Elephas maximus indicus: one gene and its partners. The protein of the gene in region 2 interacts with the protein of the main gene of each other region in a pairwise test. Links are inferred from orthologs where the notes say so. Each region holds a gene or a part of one and is shown on either strand. Other genes may lie near its edges. The genes, in order: DMRTB1, NIF3L1, SAT1 and CDKN2C.

What was found.
Region 1: the proteins of NIF3L1 (region 2) and DMRTB1 interact in a two-hybrid assay, tested with the Homo sapiens proteins (2 studies listed by BioGRID and IntAct). The two-hybrid records come from large-scale screens. The link is inferred for Elephas maximus indicus from reciprocal best matches to the Homo sapiens genes NIF3L1 and DMRTB1.
Region 3: the proteins of NIF3L1 (region 2) and SAT1 interact in binary tests that used the Homo sapiens proteins (3 or more experiments, as listed by UniProt). The two-hybrid records come from large-scale screens. The link is inferred for Elephas maximus indicus from reciprocal best matches to the Homo sapiens genes NIF3L1 and SAT1.
Region 4: the proteins of NIF3L1 (region 2) and CDKN2C interact in binary tests that used the Homo sapiens proteins (3 or more experiments, as listed by UniProt). The two-hybrid records come from large-scale screens. The link is inferred for Elephas maximus indicus from reciprocal best matches to the Homo sapiens genes NIF3L1 and CDKN2C.

Annotation. Positions count from the first base shown.
Region 1 is NC_064821.1:96,785,873-96,792,840, reverse strand, and holds the start of DMRTB1 (doublesex- and mab-3-related transcription factor B1), read right to left. Parts: upstream 3,017-6,968; coding exon 2,440-3,016; intron 1-2,439.
Region 2 is NC_064824.1:99,577,472-99,584,710, reverse strand, and holds the start of NIF3L1 (NIF3-like protein 1), read right to left. Parts: upstream 3,004-7,239; 5' UTR 2,830-3,003; coding exon 2,801-2,829; intron 1,106-2,800; exon of another isoform or gene 353-1,105; intron 1-352. Other genes in the region: PPIL3 (peptidyl-prolyl cis-trans isomerase-like 3), read left to right, coding at 3,405-3,446, 6,897-6,971. UniProt on the Homo sapiens protein: May function as a transcriptional corepressor through its interaction with COPS2, negatively regulating the expression of genes involved in neuronal differentiation.
Region 3 is NC_064846.1:155,343,718-155,351,629, forward strand, and holds the start of SAT1 (diamine acetyltransferase 1), read right to left. Parts: upstream 3,011-7,912; 5' UTR 2,819-3,010; coding exon 2,753-2,818; intron 2,523-2,752; coding exon 2,471-2,522; intron 2,385-2,470; coding exon 2,301-2,384; intron 816-2,300; coding exon 714-815; intron 628-713; coding exon 587-627; intron 454-586; coding exon 283-453; 3' UTR 1-282. UniProt on the Homo sapiens protein: Enzyme which catalyzes the acetylation of polyamines. Substrate specificity: norspermidine = spermidine >> spermine > N(1)-acetylspermine. This highly regulated enzyme allows a fine attenuation of the intracellular concentration of polyamines.
Region 4 is NC_064821.1:93,990,964-93,998,015, forward strand, and holds the start of CDKN2C (cyclin-dependent kinase 4 inhibitor C), read left to right. Parts: upstream 1-4,052; 5' UTR 4,053-5,064; intron 5,065-5,088; exon of another isoform or gene 5,089-5,182; intron 5,183-5,238; exon of another isoform or gene 5,239-5,528; 5' UTR 5,529-5,539; coding exon 5,540-5,668; intron 5,669-7,052. UniProt on the Homo sapiens protein: Interacts strongly with CDK6, weakly with CDK4. Inhibits cell growth and proliferation with a correlated dependence on endogenous retinoblastoma protein RB.

The DNA of each region.
Region 1 (6,968 bases), on a different chromosome or scaffold from region 2:
TAGTAAGCATTAGCTCCCTGTTTGTTAAGAGACTCAATACAGAAAGGCACCCTGTGACCTTGGAAAGGCATCCTTCTCCTAGGATTGCTGTTTCGGGTTGGTCTTCTCCATCAGACAGCTGTTCCCTCAGGACCCAGATTTTTCTAGAATGTCCTAGAAGTCAAAATGGCCTTTTGAGAGCATCCAGAGGAGAGAAACTGATAGATAAGGAGCCTGCCACCCAGCCTCCTGACTCAGACCTGTGCGCTCTCTACCACACTGCCATAGGGAAAATACCAAGAAAACACATGTCCACACCTAAAGGCTTATTTTTTTAAAGTCTCAAATCTGTATGTGAATTGCACCCACTGGCAGATACAGGTTCAGTGGTAGAAATTTCTAAATTTCAGTAGGTGCTCCTCATATATTAATACAGACGATAGAGCACACAAGTAGCACTGTCAGGGAAACCTCTTAGACATGACACCTTACAGGATGAAGTTCTCAGGCTCAAAGGCAAAGGACCATAGACTCAGGGGACATCTACATCAACTGACATATCATAGTTCATAAAGAAAATGTTCTACACTCTACTTGGAGAGTATTTCTGGGGTCTTGAAAGCTAGCAAGCGGCCATCTAAGATACAACTACCGGTCTCTTCTAGTCAGGAGCAAAGGAGAGTGAAAAAAACTAAAGACTCAAGGGGGCAATTAGTCCAAAGGACTAATGCACCACATAAACCAAAGCCAGCACAATCCAGAGACCAGAAAAACTAGATGGTGTCCGGCTACCACAACCAACTGCTCTGACTGGGATTACAACAGAGAGTCCTGAACGGAACAGGAGAAAAATGTAGAACCAAAGATCAAATTCTCAAAAAAAAGACTAGACTTGCTGATTTGACAGAGACTGGAGGAACCAGGAGACTACGGTCCCTGGACACCCTTCTAACTCAGAATTTAAGCCACTTCTGAAGTTCACCTTACGTCCAAAGATTAAAAACAAACAAACAAAAACCAAATCCACTGCCTTGGAGTCGATTCTGACTCATAGCTACTCTACAGGACAGAGTAGAAAGAACTGCCCCACAGGGTTTCCAAGGGGTGGCTGGTGGATTTGAACAGCTGACTTTTTTTGGTTAGCAGCTGAGCTCTTAACCACTGCCCCCAGGAGTCCACAGCCAAAGACTAGGCAGGCCTATAAAACAAACAACACACATAAGGAACGTTATTCTTAGATCAAGAATATGAGATCAAATGGGCAACACCTGCCCCCAAACAACACTGGACAAATGGAAAGTGATCTGGGGGTGAAAACTGAAAAGGAGGAGAGTGCGTGACACAATGCGGGATTTCAACCAATGCCGCAAAGCAATTTGTGTATCATTTTTTGGATGAGAGACTAACTTGCTCTTTAAACTTTCACCTAAAGCACACACACAAAATCTGTGTGATTAAAATTGTACTTTACTACTGAAAACAGCAAGACATAACAATGCAATTTAAGCACAATGTGGAAGAGAAAAAAAAGCGGCAAAAAGCTCTCAAATCAACTATGCCCCTCCTGTGTAAGCAGAGGCTGCACCAGGAAAGCAACTTCATTCCCGCCACATCCAGGAAAAGGGCGGGAAGAGGTGCACAGGGCATTGTCTTGGAGGAGCCCCCAGGTCCCAGGAAGGGAGGGAACCCCCTGGAGGCGCGGTTATATTTGAGCCGGCCCACCTAGAGTGGAGCCCTGTCGGAGGAGCTGCCAGCCCAAGAAAAAGGCGGGAAGGGGCGCGCAGGCGCATTGTCTTGGAGGAGCCCCCAGGTCCCAGGAAGGACGGGAACTGCCTGGAGGCGCGGTTATATTTGAGCCGGCCCACCTACAGTGACGTCCTGGGGGAGGAGCTTCCAGGCCAAGAAAAGGGCGGGAAGGAGCGCGCAGGCGCACTGGACAGGGTGCGGCCGAGATGCGGTCCTCTGGGAGGAGCCTCCAGCCTACACAAAGGGAGGGCAGGGAAGGATGCGCAGACGCAGTCCTAGTTGAGCAGGCCACCACAGGGAAGCGCTGGGGGAGGAGCCTCCAGTCCACTGGCGGGAAGGGGTGCACCAGCTCCGGAAGTCTCAGCAGAGGAGGAGCCAACGCCAACTTGGCGTGGGGGCCATTTTTTCTTGGAAAATGGCAAGGCAAACCCTGTAGCTGAATATTAAAAGCCCTCCGGACCACCCATACCTTTTTATCGCTCTATTGCCCTTTTTGCAAAAACGCATTGAACCCAATCCATGTTCTGAGGAAGGCTTCTCAAACGAAGGTTACCCTTGGAAGGCATTTCCCCACCTCCACCACCTTCCCAACCCCACGGCCCATCCCTGCAGGATCCCGGCGAGCCTGGACCGCCAGCTCGGGGAACAGGAAGACTACACTCCTGAGACGAACGGATGGTGGGGCTGAGGCAGCACGGGGCCTAGGAATCTTACCGAGGTCGGCGAACGGTGGGCTGGACACAGGCCGCAGAGGCCTGCGCAGCTCCAGGCGGCCGGGACATCCCCTGGCCGCGGCCTCTGCCTCCAGCTGGGGCCCCATGGAACTGGACATCGCAGCTGCCGCTCCTTCGCTCGGCCCCATGTGGCTGCGGCCGCTCACAACCGGGTGGAAGGCGCTCGGGCCCGGACTGGGGCCCCGCGGGGGCCTCTCGGGGAAGCCAGAGATCGCACGGCCGTGGGGTCTGGGCTCCGAGTCCCCCGAAGCGGCGGGCGACAGCCGACGGAGGCTTGAGCCCGGGATGGCGGCCGCGGCCCCAGTGGCCGGCTTAGGCCCCTGAGCGCCCAGGGTCGCCTCCTGCTCCTCCTCGGACGCCTGTCTCTTGAGCACTTTCTGCGCAGCCATTATCTTCTGGCGCTCGCTGATCAGGTAGCATTTCTCACAGGCGCACTGCTTCCAGCGGCAGTTGCCCGAGTGGCCCTTGACTGGCACCAGATAGCCATGGTTCCGACACCGGGAGCACTTGGGGGTGCGAATCATCTTCTCGACCAGCTTGGTAGGGTCTGTCTTCATTACACAACCACCACCTCCGGGAGCCGCAGAGCAAGTGGAATAGGAATGAGCAGCGCCCCACAAGTCCTTGGTGCTGGGGACGTTGGATACACTTGTAACAAAGTGGTTCTCAGTATGTCCCGGAACTGCAGCCAACACCCTTGCATTTTCCCTCCTTTTTGGGGGGGTGCAAAATTTGGAGAGTCTGAATTTCTGTGCATTGGGTAATTAGGTGCACAGGATTGGGTTGAATAAGTTCTTCATGGAATGCTATTGCATGTATGTCATTTGGGTGAGCTGAAGTCTTAGGCGTTTAATTCTCCAAACTTTTTATTCCCGCCTCCCCATAGATAGAAGGTATTTTGTAACTTCAAAAAAGGCGGGGCGATTTTCAACGGTCCACAGATTTAAAGCTCCACAGGAATGTTGCTCTCTGTAAACCCATTCCAGTAGAAAAGCGTTCTAAAAGGCAAACCGTGTATCTCCTCCCAAAAGCTGCCGCTTCTGCTGAATTTTATTTCTCTTCCCTGCAGGGAAGCAGCCGTTCATGGTGATGCTTCCAGAATATTCTCAAGAGCTCAGCGCAGTGTGATGGTTGCTCAAGGGCGTGTGCCCTTAACAGTAATTCCCGTTTAAGAGTTGCTAATACAAACGAAACCCATTGCTGTGGAATCGATTGGACTCATAGCGACCCTATAGGACAGAGTAGAAACTCCCCATAGGGTTTCCAAGGCTGTAAATCTTCAGGGAAGCGGAGTGCAACATCTTTCTCCCACAGAGCGGCTGGTGGGTCCAACTGCCTACGTTTTGGTTAGCAGCTGAGCGCTTTAACTACTGCAGCCACCAAGACTCCTCATCTTGTTAAGAGGATGCATTTCGGAAAGGTGGACTGTTAACTTTTGTTGATGGCTCCCAAAGTAAAGCATACTTAACTGTGGCTTTAACGTCAACGAGGATTCATAGCGACCCTATAGAAAAACTGCTGCTTAGGGTTTCCAAGGCTGTAATATTTAGGGAAGCAGACTGCCACATCTTTCTCTCACAGAGCAGCTGATGGGTTCGAAGTGCCTATCTTTCCCTTAGCAGCCAAGTACTGCAAGCACTGCATCACCACGGCTCCTTGAAAGACACTTATACTTTAAAGTAAAACCGGGTATTCTGGTACTAGCTTGAATTTAGTTATCTCTGTAAACCAGACCAAACCTTGAGACACCTGAAAAGCTGGCACAAATTAAATAGTTTACCCAAGGCTACTAAATTAGTTCTTTTGTTGTTGTTGTTGCCGTTTGATAGAAATTTGTGACAGACCTTTTTTTTTTGTTTTAAAGGGCCACCAACACCTAATTTGAAAAACTTAAAATCAATCAGAGGATCAGTCATACAGTTATTTAAGGAAGTAGTTATGGTTAATACTATGGTTAAAAAGTATAGAGTTTTTTTTTTTCCCTTTTTTTTTAATTGGGCTTTAGGTGAAAGTTTACAGAACAAACTAGTTTCTCATTAAACGGTTAGTACACATATTGTTTTATGACATTGGTTAACAACCCCAGTGAAGTGTAGGGTTGTTAATTGTCTTTTCTTTGACATTTCTCTTTACAGTGGTAGAATGGTCAGAACCAAGGACTGGTGACCACCTTGATTTTCTTAGCCTCTGATGGCAGCTGCGCTCTGCACTTCTCACCAGCTGCCTGGGAATAGGAAGTGGTTGCCATTCTCCTGCAAGAGGCTCGTTAGACACTGGAAACCTGAAAAGAAGCATGCAGAGCCTTTTTTATTTTTTGCATTAAAAAAAAAATATGCCTCATTTTAATAAGAGGACAGAAGTACCTGTATGTGCTTCCTGCATTATTTGGCTCTTCGGGAATTTCGCTAATAACTTTATATCCATCTAAAGAGCTTCTAGCCTCGAGTTGCAATGCTGAAGGATTCCACTGGAAAAATATTAAATGACTCAAGAATCATCAAAAGAAGATGGAAGGAATAGACAGAACCACTATACCAAAAAGAATTGGTCAACATTCATCCATTTCAGGAGGTAGGATATGATCAGGAACCAGTGGTACTGAAGGAAGAAGTCCAAACTGCACTGAAGGCATTGGCAAAAAACAAGTCTACAGGAATTGATGGAATACCAACTGAGATGTTTCAACACACAGATGCAGCGCTGGAGGTGCTCACTCGTCTATGCCAAGAAACTTGGCAGACAGCTACCTGGCCAACCAACTGGAAGAGATCCGTATTTATGCCTATTCCCAAGAAAAGTGATTCAACTAAATATGGAAATTATTGAATAATATTAATATCACATGCAAGTAAAGTTTTGCTGAAGATCATTCAAAAGCGGCTGCAGCAGTACATCAACAGAGAACTGCCAGAATTTGAAGTTGGATTCAGATGGGAGTGTGGAACCAGGGATATCATTGCTGATGTCAGATGGATCCTGGCTGAAAGCAGAGAATACCAGAAAGATGTTTATTTGTGTTTTATTGAATACACAAAGGCATTTGTCTGGATCATAACAAATTATGAATGACATTGCAAAGAATGGGAATTTCAGAATAGTTAATTGTGCTCATGAGGAACCTGTACATAGATCAAGAGGCAGTTGTTCGGACAGAACAAGCGGATATTGATTGGTTTAAAGTCAGGAAAGGTGTGTGTCAGGGCTGTATTCTTTCACCATACCTATTCAATCTGTATGCTGAACAAATAATCCAAGAAGCTGGACTATATGAAGAAGAACAGGGCATCAGGATTGAAGGAAGACTCATTAACAGCCTGCGTTATGCAGATGACACAACCTTGCTTGCTGAAAGTGAAGAAAACTTGGAAGTACTTACTAATGAAGATCAAAGACCACAGCCTTCAGTATGGATTACACCTCAACATAAAGAAAACAAAAATCCTCACAACTGGACCAATAAGCAACATCATGATAAATAGAGAAAAGATTGAAGATGTTGAGGATTTCATTTTACTTGGATCCACAACTAACACCCATGGAAGTAGCAGTCAAGAAATCAAGAGATGCATTACATTGGGTACATCTGCTGCAAAAGACCTCTTTAAAGTGTTGAAAAGCAGGGAGGTCACTTTGAGGACTAAGGTGCATCTGAACTAAGCCATGGTGTTTTCAATCATTTCATATGCTTGCGAAAGCTGGATGATCAATAAGGAAGATCAAAGAAGAATTGATGCCTTTCAACTGTGGTGTTGGTGAAGAATATACCATGGACTGCCAAAAGAATGAACAAATCTGTCTTGGAATAAGTACAACCAGACGCTCCTTAGAGGCAAGGATGGTGAGACTATGTCTCACATACTTTGGATGTGTTATCAGGAGGGATCAATCCCTGGAGAAGGGACATCATGCTTGGTAGGGTAGAGGGTCAGCCAAGGAGAAGACCCTCAACGAGATGTAGCTGCAACAGTAGCCTCAAGCATAATAAGGGTTGTGGAGATGGCGTAGGACCAGGCACTGTTCATTCTGTTGTACATAGGGTTGCTATGAGTTGGAATCGACTCGACAGCATCTAACAGCAATGACAAGAGGTTCTAGGTTTGTCTCTGCTTTGCTGTACTTATTTTTTTTACTATTTATTTATTAAAAAGTCTCTGATTTTTTTATTAAAAACTATATGTGTGTGTGTGTGTCATGGATTGAATCGTGTCCCCCCAATCGTGTCAACTTGGTTAGGCCATGATTCCCAGTATTGTGTGGTTGTCCTCCATTTTGTGATTGTAATTTTATGTTAAAGAGGATTAGGGTGGGATTGTAACACCCTTACTAAGGTCACATGTCTGATCTAATGTAAAGGGAGTTTCCCTTGGGTGTGGCCTGCACCACTTCTTATCTTACAAGGGATAAGAGAATCCGTCAGAAAGTAGGGAGACCTCATACCACCAAGAAAGAAGCACCGGGAACACAGCATGTCCTTTAAACCTGGGGTTCCTACTCAGAGAAGCTCCTGGT
Region 2 (7,239 bases):
ACAAAGATTAGACTGCACTGTAAGACATAAAATGATAATGGTGAGGAGTGTGCTTCTTAGCTCAAGTAGACACATGAGACCATGTGGGCAGCTCCTGTCCAGAGGTGAGATGAGAAGGCAGAGGTGGACAGGAGCTGGTTGAATGGACACGGGAAATACAAGGACAAGAGAAGGAATGTGCTGTTACATTGTAGAAAGAGCAACTAGGATCATATGACGATGAGTGTATAAGTTTTTGTGGGAGAAGCTGAATGGTAAACTTTCACTGAAAGCAAAAAAAAAAAAAAATTAAAGAACTATGTTTTCTAAATCCCAGTATCACCAGCATAGGTAGGCACTAATGTTTACTCACAGAATGGCAGTCTCCTCCTTCCTTGCAGAATTTGGAGTTAAAACCAAAAAAACAAACCTACTGTCATGGAGTCAATTCCGACTCATAGCGACGCTATAGGACAAAGTAAAACTGCCCCGTAGTGTTTCCAAAGCTGAAATCTTTACAGAAGTAGACTGCCACATCATTCTCCATCATAGCGGCTGGTAGGTCTGAACTGAAATCTTTCAGTTAGCAGCCAAGCGTGCTTAACTACTGTACCGCCAGGCTCCTTAATTTGGAGTTAAACCAAAACCAAAACCAAACCAGTTGCCATCGAGTCGATTCTGACTCATAGTGACCCTACAGGGCAGAGGAGAACTGTCCCATAGGATTTCCAAGGAAAGCCTGGTGGATTCCAACTGCCGACCTTTTGTTTAGCAGCTGTAACTCTTAACTGCTACGCCACCAGGGTTTCCAATTTGGAGTTAGGGTGGTACATACTGGCAAAAGTGCTTTACCAAAATAATAATAATATTTTTTAAAAAATCAATTGCTTTATCAGCAGCCAGTATCATGGGATGCATTAGTGGGTCACTCTTCTGAATGGGCAGGGTCATGGCCAGGAAAAGGCAGGAGCTTCTGCTCCTGAACCATTAACACCTACAGCACAAAAGCCACACTCAAGAGGTGGGAGAGCTAACGGTGTAGGTACGTTGCCTACACAGCCTGTAAGCCTTCTAGACATCTACAGCCAACAAAAATTGGAAAGGTTGGCAAAAAAAGGAAAGGTAGAGGACTAAAAAAGGAAATTGTGGAGCTGGGAAAAATTTGCTGGCTCTAAAATATGAAAGGTGACAAATTAAAATCAGTAAATGATTAACCAAATAACCACAAAAATAACACTGTCAACTCTGTTCTTAAATTTAATATCTATAAAAATTTTTGGTTTTGGAAGAAAAACATCTTCTGGTATGCACGATTGATATTAAAAAACACACTGCCCTCTAGTGAATTCTGACTTATACCAACTTTATAGGAAAATGGTAGAACTGCCCCATAAGGTTTCCAAGGCTGTAATCTCTAGGGAGACGCCCTGGTGGTACAGTGGTTAAGATCTCTGCTACTATGGCTGCTAACTAAAAGGCTGGCAGTTCAAATCCACCAGCTGCTCCTTGGAAACCCAGGTCTACTCTGCCCTACAGGTAACCCTATGGGGCAGTTCTACTCTGTCCTATAGGGTCACTATGAGCCAGAATGACTCAATGGCACCTAACTACAACAATCTTTAGGGAAGTAGGCTGCCACATCTTCCTCTTGCAGACCCAGCTGGTGGGTCTGAATCACCCATCTTTAGGCTGCAGCCAAGCACTTAACCACTGCTCCGCCAGGGCTCCTTAACAAGAAAGCACAGCCAATTGTAAATGTAATGAAACATTCAGAACCCAATGATTTCAAGAAAAAAACTTTTTTCCAACATTTTTACAGCAGAAAGTATTTCATTAGGATATGGATACTTATGTGCAAGGCCTGGAAAAACAACGCGAGCCTGGGGACTTGGAAGATCTAATGATTCTGTTACCACATCCACTCGCTAGATTCTTCTAAGTCTAGCAAGAGGTAAAGTGAAGTCCCAGTAGGCCACCACGCTGATTTTGAGTTATTTACTGTTATATTTGAAAGAGACCGTGGAAACATGGTAGAACATTCCCATTGCATAGATTAGGATACTGCGAGGCTACTTGGCTTCAAGCCGCAGTTAACGACAATGAGAGGCAGCACAGCATGGTGGTTAAGAGCACTGACTCTGAAGCCAGACTGAACCCCAAAGGCACAGATGTCAACCACGGGCAAATTACCTTTACAGTTTTCCCGTCTGAAAAAAAGAAATGTAAATAATAGTGCCCAGCTGATATGATTGTCACGAAAATTCAAAAGGTATTGTGCCGTGAACAATGACCGGCCCAGAGTAAACACTGTGACTGCTACTGTTTACTAACATTAAGGTTTTTTTTTTTCCCAACCTGCAAACTATTCCCTCTTAGGTTCTCATCTACCCTTCATGTCAGTTCCACCGCAGCACCTTTTCCTGGGCACTGAAGAGCGCCAGGTGGCACAGCCAGTAACCCCAGGAGTCAGGACCCCCGTCCCATGCACCCCTGCGACAGGCCAGTTCTCTGCAAGGCCTCCTCTTCCGCTCCTTTCCCTACACTCCAACAACAACCGAAGTCTACCCTAACTTGGAGCCCCGGTGGCCGCAATGGTTCTGAGCTCAGCTGCTAACCGAAAAGTGGGCTATTAGAACCCACCAGCGGCTCTGCGGGATAAAGACGAGGCAATCTGCTCCCTAAAGATTACAGCTTCGGAAACCGTATAGGGCGGCTCCGCTCTGTCCTATAGGGTCACTATGAGTCGGAATCAACTCCTAACTAGGCTCTACCTCTAAGATATCGAAAATCCACGCAGGTTTCTAGATAGTACATTACTCACCCGTCCTGGAAATGCCTCTCAAACGCCATTTCCGGCTCTGCGCAGTAGCTCCCCGTGTTGTAAGACTGGGCCGAGGACAGGAGTTGAACGGAAGTGGTCCGTCAAGTTTTACAGCTGAGACCAAGGCACTTATACAGGTGGCCCAGGATAGCTCCGAGTTACGCTTCTTGTTTTAGTGTAATTATTAAGAGCTTCTTTTTTTTTTTTCCTTTCACTGTCAAGCGTGTCCCATGGTTCCCTTTTTCTAGTCGATTTGGTTTGAGCCAGGTAAGAACGGAGGACCGAAGGAACTTGTAAGAAAGAGCGTCCTCTGTTAGGGGCCCCGCGTCCAACTTCCGGTGGCCAAAAAACTATAACTTCCGGCGACCGGAGTCGTGCGAACATCACCGGCTCCATCTTCTGTTTTATGCAACGGCTTTGCTTAACTGAAATGGTGAAGTATAAAAAACCCGTTGCCGTCGCGTCGGTTCCGACTCATAGCGACCTTATAGGACAGATTGGAACTGCCCCACAGGGTTTCCAAGGAGGGGCTGGTGGATCCGAACTGCAGACCTTTTGTTTAGCAACCTGTTAACCACAGTTCCACCAGAGCTCCGAATTAAGAATGGACGGTTTTAATCCTTTCATTCGCTTATTCAAGTGCTTGGTGAGCGCTAACTATATGATAGACACTATCTTAGTTCTTGTTCTTGGATCCCTGGTGGCACCGTGGTTAAGAGCTCGGCTGCTAACCGGAAGGGTCGGCAGTTCGAATCCACCAGGCGCTCCTTGGTAGACCTTACAGGGCAGTTCTATTCTGTCCTATAGGTCACTGTGAGCCGGAATCGATTCGACAACGGGTGTTTTAGTTCTTGGGATACTTCTGAGTGAACATTTGGGGTTGAGGTGGTGTTGGAAAGAGACACTTTAAATAAGGAAAGTGTATAGTATGTTAGTGATAAGTGTGATGGGAAAAGGAAATAGGGCAGGTAGGAGGGTTAAAACAATTTTAAATAGGATTTACAGGTCAATGAGACCTGACATTGAGCAGACTTGGCGGTGAGGGAATCAGCAGTACTAATGTCTAAGTGTGAGGGATCCAGGGAAAGGGAACATCCAGTGCTGACACCCTCAGGAGGGGGAGTGTGCCTGACTTGTTGGAAGACTTACAAGGAGGCTCTGGAAGAAGAGTGAGGGAGAGGAAGTATATTCAGGACCTCCTCACTACGTCTATAACCAGATTTGTATTACGTGGGGAATGCTCTTTGAGGCTTTTTCTTATTAATATACAATAAGCAAGCGTGAATTAAGAGGAAAAAAACAATTCTTTTTTGCTCTTGTTTTTTACAAACAGACTCACTTTCTCAGAAGCACTGTGATACATTAAGTAACAGTGCTTCCTGAAACCATTAAGAAGAATGGTAAGTTTTGTAGAATATTTTTGAATGCGTGTAAGTTCTAGAAATCCAGTCAAGGGAAATAAAACTGCATGAAAATTTCAGCACCAAGTTGGAGAAAAAGTAGGATGTAGAGGCATACAGTGTAGAATGATGCCAAACAAAAACAAAACAGCAAAATTATTTTTTAATTCTTTAATGTTTTCACTTAAAATGCACAGAATTTACCTTTTATGGAAAAAAGATTATTAGAGATGGAAAGGGGGAGTTGGAGGAGCAGAACAGTATAACCATGTATGATAAGCCCTGGTAGCACAGTGGTCAAAGTGCTTCACTGCTAAACAGAATGGACTTGAAGGCAGTGGGTTCTAACTTGAAGTAGAAGATAAGCAATGAGAATAGTGCCCTGCCCCACCCCCACCTATCCTCTACCTTCTACCTGGCCATACCTCCTGACTGCTAGATATTATTGTAAGGAGAAGAAAAAAGAAAGCCTCAAAATAGTTTTCTCCCCTCTCTGGAATGAGTTGCGATTCCTATAATGTGAAAGCACACTCTCCCTTTCCACCCTGTGTTTCCTGTGTCCATTCAACCAGCTCCTATCCCCTTATGCCTTCTCAACCTGCCGCCTGCCAGGAGGTGCCCATTTAGTCTCGTGTATCTGCTTGAACTAGGAAGCACACTCTTCATGAGTGTTACGTTTTGTAATCCAATCTAATCTTTGTCTGAAGAGTTGGCTCCAGCAATGGTTTTAGTTCTGGGTTAACAGAGAGTCTGCGGGCCATGTGTTCTGGGGTTCCTCTAGTCTCAGACCATTAAATCTGGTCTTTTTATTAGAATTTGAGTTCTGCATCACACTTTTCTACTGCTCTGTAAGGGACTCTTTGTTGTGTTCCCTCTCAGGGTGGTCACTGGTGGTAGCTGGGCACCATCTAGTTCTTCTGGTCTCAGATTGATGGACCCTTTTGTCTCTTGGGGTAACATTTTCCTGTGTCTTTAGTGCTCTTCATTCTCCTTTGCTCCAGGTGAGTTGGGACCAATTGATGCATCTTAGATGGCCACTTGCTAGCTTTTAAGACACCACTTACCAAAGTGGGAGGCAGAACATTTTCTTACTAAACTTTGTCATGCCAGTTGACCTAGGTGTCCCCTGAAACCATGGTCCCCAGACCCCTGTCCCTGCTACTCTGTCCCTCGAAGTGTTTCGTTGTGTTCAGGAAACTTCTTAGCTTTTGGTTTCGTCTACTGGTGCTGACTTCCCTTGTATTGTGTGTTGTCCTTCCCCTCACCTAAGATAATTCTTTGATGCTTTTTATACTTGTTTCTTTAGTCAAGAAAGAAATTGATAGATAATAAAAAAAAAAAAATACATATACGTTTTATTATGGGTGAAGGAAAAGATAATACATAATACAGGAGAGGTCAACACAACTGGACTAAACCAAAAGCAAAGGCGTTTCCTGAATAAACTGAATTCTTTGAGAGCTGGCGTGGCCGGGGCGGGGGTTTGAGGACCGTGGTTTTAGGGAACATCTAAGTCAATCGGCATAATAAAACCTATTAAGAAAACATTCTGCATCCCACTTTGGAGAGTGGTGCCTGGGGTCTTAAACGCTGGCAAGCGGCCATCTAGGAGGCATCAGTTGGTCTCAACCCACCTAGAGCAAGGAAGAATGAAGAACACCAAAGACAAAAGGTAATTATGAGCCTAAGGAACAGAAAGGACCACATAAACCAGAGACTACATCAGCCTGAGACCAGAAGAACTAGATGGTGCCCAGCCACAACCGGTGACTGCCCTGACAGGGAACTCAATAGAGAAACCCTGAGGGAGCAGGAGAGCAGTGGGATGCAGACCCCAAATTCTTGTAAAAAGACCAGACTCAATGGTCAGCCTGGGACTGGAGGGACCCCGGAGGCCATGGTCCCCAGACCTTCTGTTGGCCCAGGACAGGAACCATTCCCAGAGCCAACTCTTAAGACAGGGATTGGACTGGAATAGGGGATGGAAGATGATACTGGTGAAGAACGAGCTTTTTGGATCAAATAGACACATGAGACTATGTTGGCATCTCCTGTCTGGAGGGGAGATGAGAGGGCAGAGGGGGCCAGAAGCTACCAGAATGGACACGAGGAGAGAGTGGAGGGAAGAACTGTGCTGTCTCATTGGAGGGAGAGCAATTAGGAGTGTATGGCAAGGTGTATATAAATTTTTGTATGAGAGACCTGATTTGTAAACTTTGACTTAAAGCACAATAAAAAATTAATTAAAAGAAAGAAAAACTGATTTTTAACCCTGTTTCTCAGGATAAAATTACATAAGGGATATGGTGGAAACTATGTTTTGGTGATTTACCATTTAAATCAATAATAGTAACATAACACTTGTTTTTACTGATAAAAAATTCAAATGTAAACTAATTTCTATCTCAATATTTGTTTCCAATTTTTAGCATAAATACCTTTTTACTTTAACATTTACATCTATCTTATCATTTATATCTATCTTATGGTATTTTTTCCTGCTGTTAGAATAAATTTTAGGGAAGAAGTATAACTCATCTCTAGAGCTGTTATGTGAACGTCATCTCTGATGCAGTATTTCTTTCCGTCTCCTTTTACTCAGACTGTCATACTGGATGTCCAGTAAGGGAAACAATACAGTGCATAAAGTCACGTGAAGAAATCTTACTTGTTCTCAAATTCTCTCTCCCTTTTAGTCTGTGACATTGCATACAGATGTAGGTGATATTAAAATAGAAGTTTTTTGTGAGAGGACACCCAAAACCTGTGAGGTGAGTACCATTATTTGTATATGAAAAATTAGTTTAATGTACCAGGATAGCCATTTTGAAATTGAATCACCTAACCCTAAGACAGTAACAATAGAAAAAAACTTTTTTGTGAAACTGTGGTCAGGAAGAACCAGCCATTATAATTTCTGGCCTAATTTCCTTACCTTTTACCATATCAAAGGTAGATCAAAGAAATGGTAGATAGTTTTCCTCTAAGCATAGAGTAGGAGTCCCTGTGTAATGCAAGTAGTTAAGCGCTTGACTACTA
Region 3 (7,912 bases), on a different chromosome or scaffold from region 2:
TTTCAATGACTCACAAGAATGAAGTTTTTTTTTTCACATATAAAGATCATACCACCTTGTTTATCAAAAAAAAAAAATTCAAGGAAAAATCTGACTCCAATCTGAACACAAAATTGCCATTTTAAGTAGACTGCCTTTCAAACATGCAACAACGCCACTGGTAATAAAGCTTTGGAATGGGAGCTCTTTCTATTATTCCACTACAAACAGGTTAGAAAGCAAGAGAAGCTGAGAATTTTTCCTAAATAGAATGGAACTTGTCATTGTCTGCACTGGCGCTTCTCACTCCTCTGCTGCCATTTTTAGCAAGTACTCCTTGTCAATCTTGAAGAGTCTCCATCCCTCTTCGCTGGACAGATCAGAAGCACCTCTTCTTTTGTAGAAGTTGATAGATGGTTCGTTCCATTCTGCCACCAAGAAGTGCATGCTGCTGCAGCGACATTTCATAGCAACCTATTGTTAAGGGGGAGGAGGAAAACAAAACTCAGTGACATTTCACCTGCTTTCCCCAGACCTAAATTTGATTCAGTCATTAAAATAAATCCAGTAATCCTTACAAATTAAGAAGCCAAAGACTAAGACATACCTGGCTTAGATTCTTCAGAATTTCTGATCCTATGCCAAAGCCTAAAAGAGAAGTACAATTAAAAACATTTTAAGGATTTAACGCCCTATATTTCTCTTTAAACCCACTCCTCTGTACTCAGCCATACCTCTATAATCGCTCATCACAAAGAAGTCCTCAAGATACAACAGCTTGCCAATCCACGGGTCATATGTAAAATAGTACATGGCAAAACCAACAATGCTGTGTCCTGTAATAAGAGTATCACATGAGTTCTAGAGAAGAAAAATCCACAAAAGTTGTAGCTGCAAAACAGAAGCCTATCACAGGTTTTAAAAAAAACAGACATGCATATATTATAGAAACAAGTAGCCACTAAATTAAGACTGTCTCCTTTTATGATAGTGCAGCCCAGGCCACTGTTGGACAACCTCACTGTTTTCAGAACACTTATTTGCAAAAAGCACACATTAGAGCTAGTTGAAGCCAGGCTAGAACTGTGGGCTGGCCTCTCTTCAATCTGCTGGAGCTCACACTCAGGAAGCAAGAATGCTTTAATTACTTGCCAGAGCTAAACTGCTATGGTTTTTAAAGTAAACACACATATTATTCACATCCTACTGATATACTGGTATGCTGATTGGGGAATAAGTCAGGTTTACACGGCAGTTCAGAATATTAATTGTGTTGTCTGGAAACTCTGCTTCCTTAAGGTCAGATCAGGCTAAAGGTGCAACGTTTAATTTCAGAACTTGCCTTCCAATTCACACATATCCCAATTTGCTTTCCCCAGTTTTAAAGCCAGAAGCAGCAGCAGTAGCCACGAACAGCTATTATGTAACATCCATAAGTCTTAAAAAGCACCTCATTTCTTCTAGCTTGGGGAACCAACTTCAGAAAAAGCTTAAGAAATCTCCCACCCAAACAACTTCCCCTTTTAGCTCTTATCTTCTGACCAGTCAACAAGGACCAGCAAAAATATGAAAACTAAAACAAAAAAACCAAGCATCGGATTCTGTCTTAACAGGTATCCACAATTCCAAAGGGAGGCAAAGGTTTTAAATTAAACTTTCAAGCCATTTTATATTCCTTTGCAAACAAACAGGAAGCGAGTATAATGAAGTTTCTGATCTACCGTGTTTTAAGTGTGTGATAATAGGGCCTTACCTCATTTATCATGATCATCTACTTTATTGTGTAAAGGATCTTTTAGTTACCTCCCCGCCCATCCATGTACACGGAAGGGCCATGTACATGGCGAAGCTAGAGACTGTAACCTGAAGATTGGGACAAATTAAAGAAAAAAATGCAATTTAACACAATTACAAAAAAGGTTACGTTAGGGTCAAACAAGAACCATTTTATGAAACTGAATTACAACAAAAGACATTATACCTAACTTTTCTGGGTCTTCACAGCACTGATAATTAAACAGTTCTTTTCCTGCTTCCGTAAAGATTACAGCCGAAAAAACCCTAGGGGCAGTTCTACTGTCACATGACGTCTCCACGAGTCGGAAACGACTAGATGGCACCCAACAACATTAAGTGCGGCACATGTATTGTTTTTGTTTTTTCCTCCTCAGTAGTTTTCCACACTGGCTGGCTATTATTTCTGGCCAACTTCTCACTAAGTAACTTGGGCCTGGGTAGTTAGTGGTTCTACACAGCAGACACTACGTTTTACACAACACTCAGTCTCTCTGACCAGCTTCTGGAAGGGGAGGGGTGGCTACCTTCCGGAGTCCAGTGCTCCTTGGGCACTTCTGCAACCAGACAGTGGTAAAAGGGGTGCTCTCCGAAACCATCTTCTAACAGATCTGCAAGGAGGGACACAGTGTTGGCTTCGGGGTGGGTGAGAGGCACCGGACTCTTGTCCCTCCCCCCTGCCCCACTGTTGCGTTACCTTTCTCAGTTAACCTTACTTTCTCTTCCATGTATTCATATTTAGCCAGTTCCTGGGGCGAGGCACGCAGAAGAAAAAAGAGAGAACAGAAAACAAAGTGAGGCCACCGACAACTCAGAGGAAGGGGATGAGGCTCGGGAGGGGAGGGCGGCAGGAGAGGGCGGGGCAGGGGCAGGGGAACCGCCCCGGCTCTCCAGCAGCGACCCAGTCCCAGAGACCCACACTCTCCCCGGAAAGAGGCCGCCCCACCCTGGCCCAGGAGGCGCCCGAGCCGCCAGCTACCTTGATCAGCCGCAGGATATCACTGCAGTCGGCGGCGGTGGCTGGGCGGATCACGAATTTAGCCATTTTCGTCTTTTGCTTTTCTTCCCTTTGCGGACCAAGCCCCTGTACTTGAACAGCAGGAGGAGGTGGTTCCTCATTCGTCTCCCGGGAGCTTCCTTTTCTCAGTCAGGCTGGCACCATGACCCGGCGAACTTCGGCAAGCGACAAAAAACCCTCACCAGAGCGAAGACTAACGCTACGCGTAGAAGCTGCGGCCAGCGCCGCTTTTTTAGTGCGAAGGAGCCCCGCCCCGGGCCGTGAGGCGGAGGCATCTCGCCCAATGAGATCGCGGCCCTCCCCCCTGCCCCCACCCCTTTTCCCCCGGCTTCGCTCTCAATTCCGAGCCCGTGTGAGCTGAGCAGGCGCGAGCGGGGGCGGTGACCGAGAGTAGCCTGGGGCGCGGCGGCTTCGCGCAGCGGCGCTCTCTAGCGGCGCCCTCTTGCGGCGCCTCATGGAATATTCCCGGAAACCGCGCGCCCCAGTAATTTTTGCAAATAATGGAATTTCCCCTGTGTCCCCCAACCTGTGACCTTGCTGCCTTCTCCTTGGCCCGTCGGTGAACCAAATTCTGGAGACCTGGCATTGGACGGTCGGAGAAGGTCTAAGGCAGAACTATTTTCATAATAATAGTAACGTCATTTGACTTTTTAAATCTCGGAATTTTCCAAAGGTGACCCGTTGTGTGATGACGTCATCGCTCTGATGACTAAAGGACTGTGTTCGTGTATCTTGTGTTTTCTAGAACTTTCTAAGGTAAGCTGTTTAGGTTCTTCAGTTTCTTTTTCTTATTCTTGCAATTGTTTTTAGAGTTAGTGAAGTTTTTTCTTTGTTACGTATCCCCCGCCCCACTATTCCTTTTTAAATCTCTGACTTGTGGAAACTCTTTTCTTCTGCCTGAGGTACATTCTTCATAATTTCCTTCAGTGAAGGTTTGCTTTTGTCAAACTTTCTCAGTTTTGCTGAATATGTCTTCACTTCATCTTAAATTTCTTGAAGAATTTTTTTTCATTGCTTATAAAATTTGAGGTTGAAAATTATTTTCTCTTCTACATATTGATGTATTATTTGGCTATCTTTTGGCTTCCAGTGCTGTAGAAAAGTTAATTGTTTAGAAAGTTAATTGTTTAAAATTAATACATAATTTTTCCTCCAAATATTTTTGTATCTTTTATTAGTGTTTCGTGTTCTTCAGTTTCTCTTTGATGTGTCTTGGTATAGATTTTAAAAAATATTCATTCTTCTTTGGATTCATTACATTTCTTGAATCTCCTGGTTAATGTCTTTAATCAGTTTTGGAAAACTCTTAGCCAGTAATTCTTCCTATTTTATCTCCACCCTATTTTGTCTTTCCTGTCCTTCTGTAGCTGCAGTTAAACACATGTAATGCCTACTTGCTCCATCCTCTGTACTATTTTTATTTTTTTAAACTTTATTTTGAAATAAATTCACAGGATGTGTGATGACATCATTGTTTGGATGACTAGAGAAATGTGTGCTTGTGTTTTCTTATGTTTTCTAGAATTTTCTAAGATAAGCTCTTTAGGTTTCTCAATAATTTTTTAAATGTCCTGAGACCAAAATGAGAACAGCTGAATTAGAGTACTGTATAACTTCTTCCTGTTTGTACCCACTGGAAGAAGTATTCAGGCTTCTGCAGAATGAGTTTTTCTTTTACAACCACCTTCCCAGACAAACCTTGCTCCTCCAGCCTTGCCTAGGCTCAGGGTTAAGTCAAAAGATGATTTTCACAGTGAGAGAAAGCAAGAAAAGGGGCTTGCAGCATCTGCAGTCTGTGGAATGAGGAGTTGAACTATCACCAAATGACCACAGGGCTATCACCAAATGACATTCAACAGGAGTCCCTGGGTGGTACAAATGGTAAGCAAGCTCAACTGACAACCAAAGTTGGAGATTCCACTCCATCCAGAGGTGCCTAAGAAGAAAGGCCTGGCAATCTACTTCTGAAAAAAACAGCCTTTGAAAACTTTATGGAGCACAGTTTTGCTCTGACACAACATGAGGTCATCATGAGTCAGAATCCACTCAGAGGCAACTGGTTTTAACATTCAACACGTAATTCTCTGTCTTTGCTAGCAATAAACTGTATGTAAAAAAATCAAAAGTAGGTTCTCAGTTCTCCTTCCCACCCACCCAGGATTGCACACATAGTGAGTCACTGTGGAAATTTAAGAAACGTCTTTCTCAAAAAATCTGTCAAAATCAGGTTGCTTAATCTACTATGGGTAGTATCTTTCCTAACAGCATGAGCTACACCTCCTGAATGATCATTCAGAGGACCTTCCTTCCTCTGCTTTCTAAAATGAGAGAACTTAGGAAAGCTTGCTACAGATTTGGAGCCCTGATGGTGCAGTGGTTAGAGCTTGGCTGCTAATCAAAAGGTCAACAGTTTGAATCCACCAGCTGCTCCTTGGAAACCCTGTGGAGGATTTCTGTCCTATAGGGTTGCTGTGAGTTGGAATCAACTCGATGGCAACAGATTTTTTTCATTACAGATTTACTGATAATTTAGTCCTTCATGACTAAGAACTAATGGTAGCTGCCTAGTTAGAGCACGAACAAGGCCATTTCCTATTTGGGTTGCGTAGTTTTTTAGAATAGTGTTCTATTAGAATTATGACTTTTTGGTTATGAAAAATCATGATTTTTCTTCTCTGCTTTTCCAGTTTGTTTCATGCTCTCATGCTTCCCTTTGCCTTTGTGGACAAGAAGAGCGTGTTCTGAGATGGCCGCCGAGTCGATTCCAATTCGCGGTGACCCAATGTGTTAGAGAGTAGAACTGAACTCCGTTGTGTTTTCTTGGCTATGATCTTTATGGAAAGAGATCACCAGAACTGTCTTCCACAGTGCTGCTGTGTGGGTTCGAACCGCCAGCCTTCAGGTTAGTCGTCAAGTGCAAACCGTTTGTACCACCCAGGGACCTATTCTGAAAGATTCCACTGCTGTCAAGTGACTTCCAGCTCATAGCAATCCTACAGAACAAGCTAGAACTGCCCCACAGGGTTTCCAAGGCTTAAATCTTTACAAAAGCAGACTGCCACATCTTTCTGCCACAGAGCCGCTGGTGGGTTCGAACTGCCAACCTTTCAGTTAGCAGCCGAGCACTTAACCACTGTGCCACCAGAGTATAGGTGGCTAAAAAAAGCCTGTTGTGGTTGTGTATGTGTAGAAGCTTAGAACCCTAAGAAATTTGAGTTTTCTTCATGGCAGTGAATCGGGTTATGCTTTTGAAATTTTAGACTAATTCCATTTTAGATAGGTGCTATGGGTGAGCCATTACTCCCTCCTGATACTGGAGTTTGTATTGAATACTGCATAAAAGGAAACCCTGGTGGTGTAGTGGTTAAGTGCTACAGCTGCTAACCAAAAGGTCGGCAGTTCAAGTCCACCAGACGCCCCTTAGAAACTCTATGGGGCAGTTCTACTCTATCCTGTAGGGTTGCTGTGAGTTGGAATCAACTCAACGGCAGTGGGTTTTTTTTTTTTTTTTTAGTTTACTGCATAAAAAGGGGAGTAACTACCTAGCATTTGGAAAAGTTTTATTTGGTTAATGAGTCAACAAATCAACAAATACAATGAAACCTGTGAGAACCAGAACCCCTTGTTTTTCTGGTCTTGCACATTTTCTGCCCTTGACAGGGTGCAGTCTTACCACTTTTCTGTCCCTCTCTGTTAGTGGAAAATACTTAAATTTTCCTTTTCTGACAGGTTTCCGCCTTACACTGGTTCCACCTTTCACAGGGTTTTACTGTATTTATTAAGCACTTATCCAGCCTTGTGCGAGGTACTTGGAGTATAGAGGATAACTAAGTTTTGAAACCAGCCCTCACCATATACAGTTTACTTTTATAGATGTGTGTGCAGTTTACTACAACAGAATTTAATCTTTGTCAGAAAGAGAATTCCTGAAACTGAGGAGGACTGAGAAGGGGGAGAATGGGAGAAAGGGAAAACACCTAGGTGTTTTGCATTCATTGTCTCATTTAATCCTCACAGTTACTATCATGGGAAGTGGTAATATTACCTCCATTTTTACAGCTGAGAAAACCGAAGCTCAGAGGGATTAAGTGTTTTTTTTTAAGAAGTGGTAGAACTAGCAAAGAAGTTGATTTTGGTGCCAAAGTGAAGCTGTCCAATCTGCCCCATTAAACTCTAATGAAAGGTGTTTTTTTTTTCTTGCTTGTAAAAGCAGTGTACTTGTTGTTGTTGAGTACTATTGAGTCGATTCCAACTCATAGCTACCTCACGTGACGGAGTAGAACTGCCCCATAGGGTTTTCTAGGCTGTAGTCTTTACGGGGGAGCCCTGGTGGCCCGGTGTTAAAAGCTCGGCTGCTAACCAAAAGGTTGGCAGTTTGTATCCATCAGCCACTCCTTGGAAACCCTATGGGGCAGTTCTGTTCTGTCCTATAGGGTCGCTATGAGTTAGAATCGACTCAAAGGCAAAGGGTTAATCTTTACAGGAGCAGGTCACCAGGTCTCTCTCCTGAGGAGCCGAGGAGCGCTGGGTGGGTTCAAACTGCCAACCCTTCAGTTAGCAGCTGAGCATTTAACTGCTGTACCACCAGGGCTCCTTCATAAAAGTAATACATACTTATTAAGAAAAATTGAGAAATGCAGAAATACAAAAAGACAATACAAATAACCCCTATTAGCCAGCACCCACCGCCTGCAAAGTCGCACCATCACCTCCCTTGGTTGTAATTTTGGAATAGCCCCGTATAGTAGAAAAACCAGCTGCTGTGGAGTTTTGGAAATAGTGGTGAGGGCTGCACAACATGGTGAATGTAATTAATGTCATAGAATTGTATGCTTAAAAACGGTTAAAATGGCAAATGTTATATATCTTTTACTACAATAAAATTTAAAAAAATTCTTGTTAACGGGTTGATTTCCTTCTAGTCTTTTTTCTATCCATATATACATGCAGGACTGATACTCAGTTGGTTTATAGTGTGGTGGATTAAACCAAACCCAGTGCCGTCAAGTCGATTCCGACTCATAGCGACCCTATAGGACAGAGTAGAACTGCCCCATAGAGTTTCCAAGGAGCACCTGGCAGATTCGAACTGCCGACCCTTGGGTTACCAGCTGGAGCATT
Region 4 (7,052 bases), on a different chromosome or scaffold from region 2:
AATCTCTGTTCTTTGACCTTACCACTACTCTTTTAAAAGTAACTTCCATTTAATCTTTCTTTCAAATAAAGATAATCAAGCTTATTTGTAGAGTTATTTTACCAAATTTTATTTGAATTAATTTTAGATTTATATAATAGTTAAAAAATAGTTCAGAATGCTCCTATATACCTTTTATCTAGCTTCCTCTAATGTTACTATCTTACATAACCATGGTATGTTTATAAAAACTCAGATATTAACATTGATACGACACTATTAACTAAACTCTCGAGACTTTACTTGGATTTTTCCACTAATGCTCCTTTTCCGTTCCAGGATCCAATCCAGGATATCACATTATATTTTTCATGTCTCCTTAACCTCTTCCAATCTGCGACAGTTACTCAGTCTTTCCTTGTCTTTCATGATCTTGACACTTTTGGAGAATATTGGTCAGGAACTTTGTAGAATGACCTTCAATTTGAGTTTGTCTAATGTTTTCTCGTGATTACAGTGAGGTTATGGAATCTGGGGAAGAATATCACAGAGGCGGTGTGTCCTTCTCATCATACCATATCAGGGGACATATGATATCAACATGACTTACTGCTGGTGATGTTAACCTTTATCCCTTGGTTAAGATAATCAAGATTTTTAACAATAATTACTGGTTTAGAATGTAATATATGTGAAGATTAATGCTACAACAGAGTTAAATCAAGACTTAAGTAATAAAAATGTATTGTTTAATGTTTTAATGTTCTTTAGACATCTAGTGCCTGATCTGCACTCTCAAGTAATGGAAAAGGCGTAAGATTTTAAGACCCAGGGCCTGCCTGTAAATTCCATACCCACTACTTAATGACTTTAAGTCTTAATCCCAATCAGCCTCAACTCTCACTTGAAAATTGGGTTAATTACCATATTTACCTCACAGAGTTATTGTGAATATTAAAAATGTATGCATAATATTTAATAACCATGAAATGCTATATGTTTATTAATTATTACTATTATTTTTAAACTTTTGAGTTGCTTAACCTAACCTAACCCATTGCAGTAGAGTCAATTATGACTCATAGCAACCCTACAGAACAGAGTAGAACTGCCCACTGGGTTTCCAAGGCTGTAAATCTTTACAGGAGCCGACTGCCACATCATTCTCCCATGGAGCGGCTGGTGGGCTTGAACCGCCAACCTTTAAGTTAGCAGCCAAGGGCTTAACCACCGTACCACCAGGGTTCCTTTGGATTGCTTACTGGGTACTTTTTTCTTACTTTACAAAAAGACTTTCATAAGTGGTATGAGTACCCATGTGAAGAAGCCTGCTGAATTTCAGAAATAAAATACCAAAGCCACAATTATGATAAAACGGCCCCCTGAGAGTGCCAGTCTGTTTCCCACTTCTTTTGGATCTATAAAAGCAACAAAGGGGAAGACCTTGAGACCAGGTGAAAAAACTGTAAATACATTCACATTTCCAAACATTATTCATTTAAAAACTGTGCATACTTGAGCCAACAAGGGAAATACACAAAATAATTTGACTAAATTATATTCCTATAAACCTTTCAAAATAATTGTAAATCGCTGAATGAAAAAGGTTTCCATCACTGTTAGTATTTAATATCCAAGTATAAAACCTGTATTTCAGTATTTGAGGGACATATCATTACTAAGTTAAAAGAGAAACCACTGCTTTCAATATAATAGTGTTCTTAACTGTGAAACTTTCTTGTACACCATAGTGTAAATTTATTGAGGATAGAGATGCTCATCTTAGAATCCACTTCAGTGAACCAGCACTTAATAAATATTAGCTTTTTATTGGAGGTATTTTGTAATGCTTACTTATACTCTTTGAACTAAGACTGTAATCTTTGTGCTGCCAGTTCTGATTTACACAATAGGCAGACTAGGCATGTGCTTTAGGACTCCAGCATAGCCAGAGTGAAAAAGAAAGAAAAAACTTTCTTAAAGAATTTAATAGTTCATCAAAAGCTTTGAAGTGGTCATCTTGGGAAACATCAGAACTTTGTTGAACTTCTTCACACTTTTTTTTTTTTAACTTACGTATGAGGTATGGGTGGTGGGATATCAAAATCCTTCCAGTGTTTAGGACCTCCAAAAATCTTAATCCAGCTCTGTGTTTGGTTTAAATTAATATAAATTTTATTTACACAGTAACTCATTAGAAAGTGTTCTATTTCATGAAAATTTTAACACATGTATACCCATACTTCATGTAATGAGTGCAGTTTAAGTTCTTCCTCATTACAATCTTTTCTAAGCAAGAAACCATAATCCATGCTAGAAAGCAACTCATAAATTGGACAAATGCCAATTATCTCTTATCAGCCAACGGTGCTAATATATCATCACACCTAAAAGATTACATAGTAAATTAACATAATAACTAAAAGTAAAGTATTATTACTGATATAAATGGAAATCTAAACGTTCCATTTGAAATGTCTAAGTATGTAAGAAAACAAAGAGGAGTTAATTCCTTGTGGTGTAATTCCTGCTTAATTTACAATTCAAGTTTAATAATCTAAGAAAGGAAATCGGGTTATTCCCAGCTTTAGCTATTCCTCTACTTAACCTCCCCCCGCCCCCCCATCTGTTGCTAGATGATTATCTAGGTGTTTAGCGTGTTTTGTTGCTAATACGTCCAGTACACTCCAAGGAGCTGGGTACAGATGCTGCTTGAGAATATGCTTGCTAGAGGCCAGTAGACCACTTGTCATATTTTGCTTAGTTTCAATTTGACTGTTGGTGCATCATGCAAACTATGTTGGATTTTTTTAAGAGCATAAAATGTAGAAAACAATCACCAACTGATCTCACATAGCTAAAGGAGAAAGTTAAAAGTACAGAGAGAATTGGTATCTCGGATGATTGAAATAACCGATTAGAGAAGAGAGTATTCCTTTGCATGTAGACACCTCCCCCCACCCGCCAAAAAAGTTCCCATCTAAGCAGTCAAAGAGAGAACTTTGGCAACAAAGAAACGGCCTTATTAGAAAACGTCTCCCAAGAGTCACAATAAAAAAATTTTTTTTAAGTTAATTGCTTTTCTCCCTGTCCGCCAAGAATATTTCACACTCTTGTTAACCTCTAGAACATTATGGCTTTTGAGTACGTTATGATTTCTTAAACTTAGGCCCTACACCATGTCTTAAGTTCTCGGATGCTTTTTCTGAGCACTGTTCTTGCTGTCATTCCGGGTTCTCTCCTTCACCCCCTACGGCCACTTCTGCCCACGACAGCTCTCGGAGTTGATCTGGCAGGTGCGAGGCCAAGGCCCGCGGCTGAGCGAAGGAGGCCGAGTTTACACAGCGCGCACCCCAGAGGAGGCAGGCTGCAGCCGTAGGCCTGGCCGCCCGAAATTCGCGAGCCTGGAGGGAGAGCGCGGGGGCAGGCCGGCCCGCTCCGCCAGGCCCGGAGAAGGGCTCGCGGTGCGCCAGCTCGCTCTCAGCCTCCCAGCAGCCAGCCCCGCCGAGCCTCCAGGCCCTGCAGCTCTCCATAGCCCTCTACAAAAAAACCTCTTCCTCCCCGCCCCCACCCCCGCAGTGCTCGGGGCAGCAGAGGGTTTCGCTTCGCAGACTCCAGCCCGCCCGCCAGCCGGAGGAGGCCAAGCCCGGCTCCGCAGGGCCGAACGCCGCTCCAGCTGGGGCCTGGACGCCGGGCTGGCGGGAGGGAGACAGCGCGAGAGACCGAGGGAGGAGGCGGGGAGCTGGGAGGCGGGAGGAAGGGAGCTTGGGCCTGGGGGGCGGAGCCAGGGAGCCCGCGAGCGAGAGCGCCGCCAGGGCGGAGGGAGGAGCGTGGGCGGCGCCCTGCCTTCCCGCTCCCGCGGCTCAGCAACTCTGCGGAGCGTCCTTAAAACTCTGCCGTTAAAATGGGGGCGGGTTTTTCAACTCAAAAAGCGCTCAATTTTTTTCTTTTCAAAAAAAGCTGATGAGGTCGGAAAAAAGGGAGAAGAAACCGGCACCTTCTCTGCAGCGGCAACAGAAGCAGCAATTGTTTGAGCGAAAAAAGAAACAAGGGAGGGAGGGAAGGAAAAGAGCAGAAAGGGGGACGACGCGCAAGTGCCTGTAGGAGTGAAGGGAGCAAAGACTGGCAATTTGGGGGGGACCAGCTACAAAAGAAACTAACTGTCACTGGGAGCGCTGCTGCTCGGGAGGAAGCAGTGCTGCCCGGCTTGGCTCCAGGGCACAGCTGGCTGCTGGCCGCTACCCTGTTGGCGGCACAGGCTGGGGGCACAGGCCGGGGGACCGCGAGAGGTTGGCGAAGTGGCACGGGACGCCGAAGCGGCTGGGCTCTCGCCGAGAGCGCGGCGGGACTGGCTGCGCCCTGGCGCTGTGGCGACTCTCCACAGTTGGAGCCTAGCTTAAGCTTCCCGGGAACCTTCCGCTCTCTGGAAGCCCCCAGAAAACCGGGAAAGGAAGGAGAAAAGCGGCGGCAGCTCAATGAGTGCCTACAGTAGGAAGCCAGAGCTGCCTCGGTCGTAGGCGGGAAATTACCGCTGGGCTGCCCGGTGCAGCCGCGATGCTGCCACGACCTGCCCCAGTGGTCCGGGCCCCATAGACGCTTCCCCACATCGCTCTCCTTCCGCAGGCTGCCGGGAGTCGGTGGACCGGGTGGAGCCGGCATGAAGGGCTTGCCGGGGGCCCGACGCGCGCCCGGCAGCCTGTGGAGAAGCGCTCCGAGCCCGGCTCCCACGGCCTCTGAGGCTCGGCGGGGCTGCGGCAGCGCGGCGGACCGGCTCCGGAGTCTTCCTGCGCGGCATTAGCCCGCTGCTCGCCCCCGACGCGTCTAAAGGCTCCTCCTGCGAAGCCGAGACCACTGGGGAGTGGTTACGACCTGTAACTTGAGGGCCACGGAACTGTTACCCCCGTTTGCCTTTGGCGATCATCTTTAACCCCCGGGAGCACGTAAGCATCCAGCCACCGCGGCGCTCTCCCTGTAGCGGAGGACTCGGGACTACCCCTTCCGCGCGACGGATGGAGACCGAGCCCCCCGGAGGACCTGCCCCTGCAGTTCTGGCTTACGCAGCTCAAGTCACCACAGTGAACAAGGGTGGGTTATTGCCTTTTCTCCCCTCCCTCCTCCCAGCGTCTTTTCTTCCGCGGTATTTTCTGCCCTGTCTAGTCCTTTAAGTCTCAGCACGTATTCCTCACAGAGATCTGTAGCGAAGGTACGTGACAGCTCTGCCTACATCTTACGTCCAGAGTAATTTACATGGAATGTAAGTGTGTTTGTGTGTCTCTCTGTTGAATCACCAGAATTCTTCATAGGGGTTAAGCTAAAAAGCGAGGAGAGCAGCCCCTCTCCAATGGCTCAGTTTTGCTGAATAATCACGTGTGAATCTAGGGGCGGGCTTTTGGCAGGCAGATCTTACTAGTATTTACTACCAAGCTCTACTCCAGAAGATTAACCATCCCAGTCCTTCTGTCAGTCTCCGATGCCATCATGCAGCCTGGTTAGGAGCAAAAGAAAGGGGAGAAAGAAAAACAACTAATTCATCTTTTCCCGATCGTCAGGACCCTAAAGAATGGCCGAGCCTTGGGGGAACGAGTTGGCGTCCGCAGCTGCCAGGGGGGACCTAGAGCAACTTACTAGTTTGTTGCAAAATAATGTAAACGTCAATGCACAAAATGGATTTGGAAGGACTGCGCTGCAGGTTGGTATCCAGAGAGGTGGGGAAAACAGGTCAATAATGTTGCCTACGTGACCCGGGTTTCTAGAGTGACAGTTTTTAAGCTTGTAGGGGTACAAAATTTTACTGTTTTTAAACCTAGTTGGTTGCCATATTTTATATCTTTAAGTGGATCCAACTCCCCAAAATGACGTACTTTGAACAAGCTCGTCGAATACAATAACATCCTCGATATCAAGTGGGTTCTAGGTTTAGTCTTAATTTTTGGAATGTTTTTGTGACGGTGGGGATTTTAAAGTAGTCATAGCAGCGCCCAGGTTTTTTTTTTTTTTCCAAATAACTCTGTAAACACATTATTGTGATTATTATTTGAAGTAAATACATTGTTATTAGTGGTTTCACGTACTTTGCCCCAATAATTGACTTTAACATTAATTTTATTGACTACTGTCGAGGGTGTTTTTCCTTCAAATGCTTCAAGTTTTGACAAACGACCTCTCCTCGTTTGGAATGGGTGGCCTGGGCACGGGGACAGGATGTACATTTCACAGTTAATGTAATACCATCCTCCCACTCAGGACTGGGGAAGAATAAAAAGTTGAATTTTCTAATCAGAACTCAACTTTAGTGTTTTCGTATCTGCGGTCATGCCAGTGGTATGCTCTAATTTTTAGTAATTAGATTTACAGGCAACAATTGAAACATTTCCAACTATCAAGTATTGTACCTAATAATTTTTTTCCTCCTCTGAATGTTATCATGTAACTTAGCGAAAGGCTTAGAAACAGAAATAAGGCAAAGTAGCCTCAGATAGTTGTTTTTATCAGAGTTCTGACGATATTCTTATGAACTATTCTCATTCGGAAATGCAAGACTTGAAGCTGTTTTTGAAGATTCATTAGGGAGAGGGTTTTTAGAGTGCTTTATTTTAGTAACAAGAATTGGAAATTTAAGCAATAGGAGATATACTATTATAGATGAAGTCCATATAGCGTTTACATTTTAAATCAGAATATACTCACCTTTAAAATTTTTCAGTATTAAGGAACATACGCATAGATAACTAAATTATTTATCTTGTTATTGTGGGTGTATTAATTAGAGAAAGGAATTTTTTTTTCCTTTTCCACCTAGTAGTTTGGAACGAGTTTGGTGATGATAGCAATGCCACAAATTTAATATACTGAAAAGTTACCTATTGAAAAATCTCAAAAGGTTATATAAATCTCGCAAAGAATGTGTCATTTACCCATGTTTAGAATAAGATCTTACAGTGCTTTTGACGATCAGGAAGACTGGGAGATTAACACTGCAAAAAAAAAATTGACATTTTTAATATAACCCTGCAATCTCATTTATGTTAAACATACTTACCATGATAGTAACACCCACTTACTGTGGCTTAGTC